2 linked regions of the Canis lupus familiaris genome follow. The protein of the gene in region 1 purifies or fractionates together with the protein of each later gene. This does not show direct contact. Links are inferred from orthologs where the notes say so. Each region holds a gene or a part of one and is shown on either strand. Other genes may lie near its edges.

Region 1 (3,558 bases):
CTTAATGCCGGCTTTCCGGGAGGACCTCGTGGCCTCTGTAGTGCAATTTGTGTGAGGTGTGCTCAGCACATGGGATGGTTCCAGCTGCTCCAGAACTTGTCCTTTCGGTGACCCTGTGGGGGTGGGGGGAACTAAGGAGCAGGTGGTTTGTCCGCATGCCTAGGGTTGGGCTGGTAGCCCTAGGTCCTGACCTCTGACCTCTTCACTTGTGTGGATGGGCCCAGCTAGCATCTGTCCTGGGACAAGGCCTTGAGACCCATTTTGGAGATGGAGAAGCAGAATCTGGGGTGGCTGGGGAGCAGTTGGTTGGAGGCAGTCAGGTCTGGTGCACAGACTGAGGCCTTCCAGGGATTCGCTGGGGGAGGGGAAGGGGGTCCTTGTTTGGCAAGGGGGGGCTGCCCTTGAGAGGCTGGGCTGGAGGCAGTCCACCTCACCTGCCCAGTGGGGCCCTCCCAGGTGACCTTTCTGCCCAGGGGCCCTGTCCTTGCTGCCCCAGGTGGACTGCACGTGCCTTGAGCCCTGGAGTAAATGACAGACATCCCAGTGGAATTCTGTGCCCTGGAACCCAGGGCAGGAGCCAGGGAGGCTTGGTTGCTGCCTGGTGGTGCCTGGAGCTGGCTGGAAGGGCGGGTAGGGGTCAGGAGCAGCCTTGCCAGGCTCCAGGTGGGGGTTGTGGTGTGTAGGTGAGGCAGCAGGGGTGGAGTCCCACACAGAGGAGGAAGAGGGTGGGTCTCCTGGGAACCGACCCCACCAGGAGGTGCACAGCCCCCAGGGGGTTGGGGGTCTAGGCCGCGTGTCTACAGGTGGACCCCCTGCCTGGACGGCTGGCTCAGGTGAACTCAGGCCAGCCTTGGTCTCTGCAGCTGCACACGGGACACACCTGCCAGGTGCTTGGGGGTCTCTGGACCAGGAGAAGGTCCCTGGCTGCCCCCTCCTGTCCCCGCCAAGGGCCGGCCCTCCTTCTGGCCACAGCAGCTGTGGCAGCATCCATGTCCCTGCAGATGCCACATTGCTTGACCAGACCAGCTGCGGTGTCTGCCTGGAGACAGCAGGTCCCGCCTGGGCTGTTGCTGCTAACCTGCCTAGAACCTGCTGGGGTGGGAGGGGAGACACCCCCCCCCAAGCCCCAAGACCCCTCCATGTCCTTTGGCTGGCTTGTGCAGTTGTCACAGGCCCCTCGTGAGGGCTGGGCCCTGTATTCCCTGTCCTGCTACTCTTTCCCCATACCCAGAGTCCAGTGGCCATGCTCCAGGTGGCAGGACCCATGGCCTAGGGCATCAGCACTGCTTTGGAACCTTCCAGGCAGGGAGTCTCCTTGGCATGACCTCACTGCTCACCCCCCATACACCCACTTGGGGGCCTCAGTCCTTCTTGGGGTGGACAGGGCTGGTGAGTAGAGGCCTGGCTTGGCCCGTGTGAGGACAGCATTTTGCCCAGAGTGCGTGGGTGTGTGTTTGTCTTTGCACAGTTCCATGTGTCCGTGCGTTCGCCTCTGCATGGTTTCCTCATGGAAGGGGAGGGTCTACTCCCACTCAGGGCGCCTGGGGGCTGAGGCATGAGTGTGCTAGGTGCCGGGTTGGAGGCTTCGAGGGCACGGAGAGGGAGCCTGCCAGGCCCCCGAGTTCTGGTCCTCCCGCGCCCACCTTCTCTGGCCTGTCAGGACAGGACGTCCCCTGCTTTCTGCCTGTGCCTGTCCTCAGGGCTGCAGTTGACAGGCCACCTGGAAGAAGATGCTTCTTTGGGGGAACCAAACCACCCAGTGGCCAGTTGGAACTGGTTTGAGTGCTCAGAGTTGGGCGTGTGCTTGGCAGAGTTGCCGTGTCCAATTTGGGCCCAAAATGCAGGCATCTGGGTCTCACGTCAGTGGATGGTGCTCCCTCGCCTGCCCTGCCACGTGGTGTTTGGGGCCAGCTTGTGAGCTGGGGACTCCCTTCACTGCCCACAGGACTCACGTGCCCTCTGTCAGCCCCAGGGCTTATGCTTGGAGGCTGTGCTGTCCCTGGAGGAGGGTGGGGTGACTTCTGGGGACCCCATAGACCTCATGGGCATGTCACACTGCATGGGGAAGGCTGGATCTGCCCAGGCCACAGGGGGAGCTGCTCATGGGTCTCACCACGGCCTGTGGGTCGTGATGTGCAAACCTGTGGCCTGGGTGGGTTTTAGGCCTTGGCTCCCACCCCTCCAGGGGCCACGTCAGGCCTTGTCCCACGAGTGTGGGCGAAGGCAAGGGGGATGGGCCAGCACGTACTGCATGTGCACGGGAAGTGAGGTAACTCACTCTGGGCCTGCTGAAGCCACAGCGCGCCATTGGCAGATGCTCTGCAGCATGCAGGTTACATTTCGGTCAAGGGCAAAGCCAGTGTGCAGCTTCCCATGTACAGCCTGGCGCTCGGTTCTGGGGTGCAGAGGGTCCAGGAGGTCAGGGTGGGCTGTCAGCATGGCCATTTGTTTCGGCACAGAAGGGAGCTGGCCCAGTGGACAGGGCTCGGGGAGCCACTCACTGCCCTGCGACACAACAGGACAGCCCAGAATGTCCCAGGATGGAGGCCAGGGGACCCAGCCAGGCCCTGGTCAGGGCGCTTGTGGCAGCAGGCTAGGAATCCCTGAGTCCTGGTTGCCACACTTGCCTCACGTCAGTGTTGACCCTGAATCCTCAAGCCCCTTCCCTGAGATAATCCACATCCCTGACTACTCACTTAACCTGTGCACACGTCAGGTACCATCCCAGGTGCACTCTGGATGCTCCGTCACTGCCCCCGGTGCCCGCCCCTTCTCCTCCTCCTCTGCCTGCAGGTCGGTCTGTTCTGAACACCTGGAGTCACACAACCATAACCATGCATCTGGTCTCCTTCTCTTGTGGTGGGGGTCCCAGGTTCCTGCACGTCACAGCTGTGGCATCACCTTCTTCTTATGGCTACATGACACCCCATTGTGTGGACCGACCACGTGTTGTTTCCCTGTTTGTCAGGCGGGCTTCTGGGGAGTTTGCATACTTGGTACCGTGTGGACCTGCATTTTCGTTTCTCGGATACAAGCAGTGGGGCACGGTGCTGAGTCCGAGGGCACACCTGGGGCACACTTCCCGGCTCCCCAGGGCCCTAAGTCACTTTCGTGGCCACTGCCCACACAGATCAACCAGAATGTGGAGACCCAGCGTGGCCGCCTGCGGGATGACATTAAGGAGTACAAGTTCCGCGAGGCTCGCCTGCTGCAGGACTACTCGGAGCTGGAGGAGGAGAACATCAGCCTGCAGAAGCAGGTGTCTGTGCTTAGGCAGAACCAGGCAAGTATCTGGCTACGGCCTCCGTGCTCCATGGCACGCCCCTGCCTTCCCCACAGCCCAGCTTAGGGCCGCGTGGCGTGGATGCGGGGTGGGGGGTGGCCATGGGGTCCCCAGTCAGCCCCTGAGGAAACAAATACCAGAGGTGAAGCAGAGGGGACACCGGAGCCCAGGGGCAGGCTGTCCAGCTCCATCTGTCCGCAGCAGTAGCAGGATGCACCCATGACCCCTGGAGCCCTGGACCCGTCCCTCCCACTGTCCGTGGTCTGCCAGCCCCT
Region 2 (4,148 bases), on another chromosome or scaffold:
CTTTAACTATAGGTATGACATTTTACCTACTACACAATGCTAATGAAAAATGTATGTAGAGTTTGACATCTATTAAATATCCAATACATAGCAGTGGCAAGTATTTGTTTCATAATTTTTTTCTCTGAAATATCTTGAATTCCTTCATCTAAAAACATGTCACTTGTCTCATTTTTAGCTATAATATGGTCACAATAGTTTGCCAGGAAGGCAAAATTGGAAAAATTGGAAAAAGGGTGACCATTTTATAGAAAAGTATGACATTATATTTACAATCACATCTATTTTTATTCTGAAGTTACTATTTTTATTTTGAAATTACTGTAGTAGTCGATTAAATAAATTCGTAAATAGTCACTGAACATCTATTATGCATCAAACAGTATTGTAAGGGGCTGCCCCGGTAGCCCAGGGGTTTAGGGCCGCCTTTGGCCCCGGGAGTGATCCTGGAGACCCGGGATGGAGTCTCACGTTGGGCTCCCTGCATGGAGCCTGCTTCTTCCTCTCTCTCTCTCTCTCTCTCTCTCTCTCATTGTCATGAATAAATGAATAAAATCTTAAAAAAAAAAACACTATTGTAGGTATTGGGGATATGGCAGTGAATTAGATAGTAAATTGCCCTCCAGTAACTTCCATGCTAATGTGGACGGTGATCCCACAGATACTCTAAAAGCACAATGAAAAACGAACAAAATGATGCCAATCCTGCGTAGATTAGAATCCCAAGCTCCATTTCTGGGTCTCTAAACTTAGCTGTTACAGTAAGCTTTGGGGGAGTTCAAGAACGGTCACCCAGATTTTTAAAAGCTGGGATTCTTATCTATAGATAGATATAGATATAGAATCTTTTTCCTCGGGGGGGGGGGGAGGTAGGAACAGGAACAAATCAGACCTATGTCTTTGTGTGTAGCAGAGAGATCTGAGCTTTCTCTACTTACTTACACTGACCTTAAAGTAGTTGTCTGGGAGTGAAAGTTGCTCGGTGTCGGTGTCGGTGTCGGAATGTCAGCAGCAGCTCCCCAAACACTGCAGCTCTTCTGTTTGCAGCAACTTAGGCGAGTCCCGCACCGAGGCAGACCGACTGACACCCGCGCCCGGTCCCCCGCAGCCCCCAGCCGTCGGGCCGGCGCCACCCCCTCCTGGCGAGCCCCGTGGAGCCGCGAGCCGAGGCCCCCCCCGCGGGAGGCGCGCGGGGCGTGGAGGGCGTGGGCCGGGGGCGGGGCCAGCCCGCAGCCCGGGGCTCGCAGGGAGCTGTCAGTGTCAGGCTGGCGGGGAGAGGCGGGGCCGGGTCCCCGCGGAGCGCGAGCCGAGCGCCGGGCGCAGCGTGAGACAGCACATCCTGCGCGCGCCCGGCCCGCCGCCCTCGGAGCCGCTCGAGCCTCGGCCCCGCAGACCCCGGCTGCAGCCGCCGCGCTCCGCCGCCGCCCAGCGCGCCCAGGTAACCGGGGCGGGGGGGGGGGGGGTCGCGCTCTGCGGGCCGCTCCTCCGCGCCCCTCGACCTCCGCGCCCCCGGGGCGCCCGCGCCGCAGCCGCGCAGCAGGGGTGCTCGGCCCCCTCCCCAGGCTCGGGCGTGCGCCCTGCGCCCTGCGCCCTAAGGCGGTCGGAGTCCCCCCCGCGGCAGCCCCCGGCTGCAGCTTCCGCGGCGGAGCCCGGGGGCGCAGGGCAGAGGAGGAGGGGTCGTGGTGTCATCACCTCGTCGCCCACCTCGTGGGCCGGGAGGGGCGTCCCGCTGCGCCGCGCCTCGGCGCGGTCCGGGGCAGCAGCAGAAGGCTGGCGGCGGGGAGATGCGCACCCCCTGGGCCACCAGCTGACGGCCCCCGGGGGAGGGGGAGCCGCGGAGCGAAAGGGACAGGATGCCGTTTGATGACATTTTCAGCTTCTGCAAAGCTCTGAGATGCTGTCGCTACCCGCCAAGTGGAGGGAGCGGATGTACTTCCAGCAGGGCATTAATGAAACACTCACGCAAGAAGATGCCAGTTTCTCCCGCTGCTGCGAAAAAGTGTGGTTGGGGGATGTGGTGTGGTAAACAGGTTCCCAGCCGCGTGGGCTCCTTCCCCCACTCCCACTCCGGAACCGCTCGGGCCGCAGAAATCCGTGCGTCGTCATCGTGAGGGCACAGAGCCTGGCAGCACGGATGGGAACTGAGTGTGCGGGAGTCTCATGACTTGGTATCTCGCTAATAAGGTCGAACAGAAACCCAGCATCAGGACAGGAAATTACTTAGGAAATGGGAGACTCCACAGAATGCAGAAGATGGAATCTGTCCTGTGTTCTGGCCTCTGCACATCTAGGTAAGGGGCAAGAACGAGGAGCCAGCCATTTTCCTGCCTGGAACGCCTTCCGAGTGTGCACTCTGTAGACTTACAGCAGTTCAGGCTTGGGAAAAATTGCTTCCAAATATTCCAGATTAACAGGAAGCATAGCTGACAGGAAGACACCAGTAACTGCAGGAGACGTCATATGGCTCATCTTAGCACAGATGAAAGCCTCTGTACATATTTTCACTGTGAAAATTGTAGTGAAAGACAATCAGTGTTAGTAAATCCAAAATGGATAATTCAGTGCTAGCTGCATCCTGAGGGTGCTAGTGGGAGTGTGATTAACACTTCCTCTGATTATTTAAAATGTCAAGTTTTCTCCAAAAGTTTTGGTGTGAGAAACAAGGGCCCGAACTGTGCTCTTTTGACCATGTTTATCAATAAAATATACTCAGACACTCCTACCATGCAGTCATCAAACGTTCTCTTCATAGGAACCAAACGTGCCAACATTTCTAGGTTCTGAGGATTCAGTGCTCCAAGAGCCATTTTTTTTTTTTTTTTTCTGAAAAATCTTGTAGCACCATCTTTAGGAAGTTAGGACAATATGTTTGGGTGTCCAGTGCAGGCTCTTTCCAGTTTGGAAAAGAGCATCTTTTGGTCCAGAACATCTTCTGTGTCTCTCTTTTTTTTCTTCCTTGTCTTGGGCCTCAGGCACCCATGCACCTGCTTCCTCTTTCCTCGGGACTCGATGCTGCAGTCTCTGCTGCACAGCGCCTGAAAGTTATTCTACTGAAATGTGTCCTCAAGCTCTTTGGTGTTTGAGGTCTAACATTATTAGGTATAACCACTGTTTTGGATATGGGCAGAGAAAATAAACTCAACCCACAGGAAAGTGGGGGCAGTTCTTACAGTGGTATTGTAGTTTCTGGTTCCTAGTTTCTGACAAACTTATGAGATGATAAGAGGAAGTCACACAGCATTTTTGTCATCATGCTTTATGTCTAAGAGGGGGCTCTATTAACTTTCTCCCCAGCCTTTCTACTTCCCCAAACACTTATTCTCAAGTCTATGTTTAATAAAAATAAGCCTTTTGCTTGACTCCAGCACTGAGTCAAGTAATTCATAGGGATCCATCCAGGGTGCTCTTCTGTCCGGTCTTGTAAAATACACAGCAAGTCTTCAAACTATGTCTCTCAACACAGACTGTGCAGAGGCTTCATTCAAAGTTAGTTACCCAAAAGGGCTATCATTCTTCCCCATCACCCTGTTTCTTTCTGTCATTTAGCCTCACATGAGTAGGTATATTCCTTCATCATTTTGTTCTGTCTGTGCTTTGCTCTACCATGTAAAACACAGGTTGATAATACGTTGAACAATTTACCCGTGTCCAGTACATTTACTGAATTTATTACATTACCAATACATTTCCTAAAGTGTGTTGAGCACTTGACATTGGATTTTAAATTACTTCTCCATGTATTAACTTACTTAATCCTCACAAAAAATCTTATGAGTTATATATTATTTTTAATCCCACTTGAGAGATGAGGAAACTAAGACAGAAAGGTATTTTTTAAAGATTTTATTTATTCATGAGAGACAGAGAGAGAGAGAGAGAGAGGCAGAGACACAGGCAGAGGGAGAAGCAGGCTCCATGCAAGGAGCCTGACATGGGACTCGATCCTGGGGGTCCAGGATCGGGCCCTGGGCTGAAGCAGTGCTAAACCGCCGAGCTACCAGGGCTGCTGGGACACAAGAGTATTAAGTAACTTTTTGAAAATTGCTCAGCTACTAAATTATAGTCAGGATTTGAACCCTGGGCCATCTGAATCTACTCTTCCACACTAAGAACAATTATATTGACTAATTTCCATATACCGAATATTA

What was found.
Region 2: the proteins of BICD2 (region 1) and DYNC1I1 purify together in Homo sapiens (affinity purification with western blotting; 4 studies listed by BioGRID and IntAct, with this or other methods). This does not show direct contact. The link is inferred for Canis lupus familiaris from reciprocal best matches to the Homo sapiens genes BICD2 and DYNC1I1.

Annotation. Positions count from the first base shown.
Region 1 is NC_049222.1:99,445,793-99,449,350, forward strand, and holds part of BICD2 (protein bicaudal D homolog 2), read left to right. Parts: intron 1-3,130; coding exon 3,131-3,283; intron 3,284-3,558. UniProt on the Homo sapiens protein: Acts as an adapter protein linking the dynein motor complex to various cargos and converts dynein from a non-processive to a highly processive motor in the presence of dynactin.
Region 2 is NC_049235.1:20,925,955-20,930,102, forward strand, and holds the start of DYNC1I1 (cytoplasmic dynein 1 intermediate chain 1), read left to right. Parts: upstream 1-1,343; 5' UTR 1,344-1,438; intron 1,439-4,148. UniProt on the Homo sapiens protein: Acts as one of several non-catalytic accessory components of the cytoplasmic dynein 1 complex that are thought to be involved in linking dynein to cargos and to adapter proteins that regulate dynein function.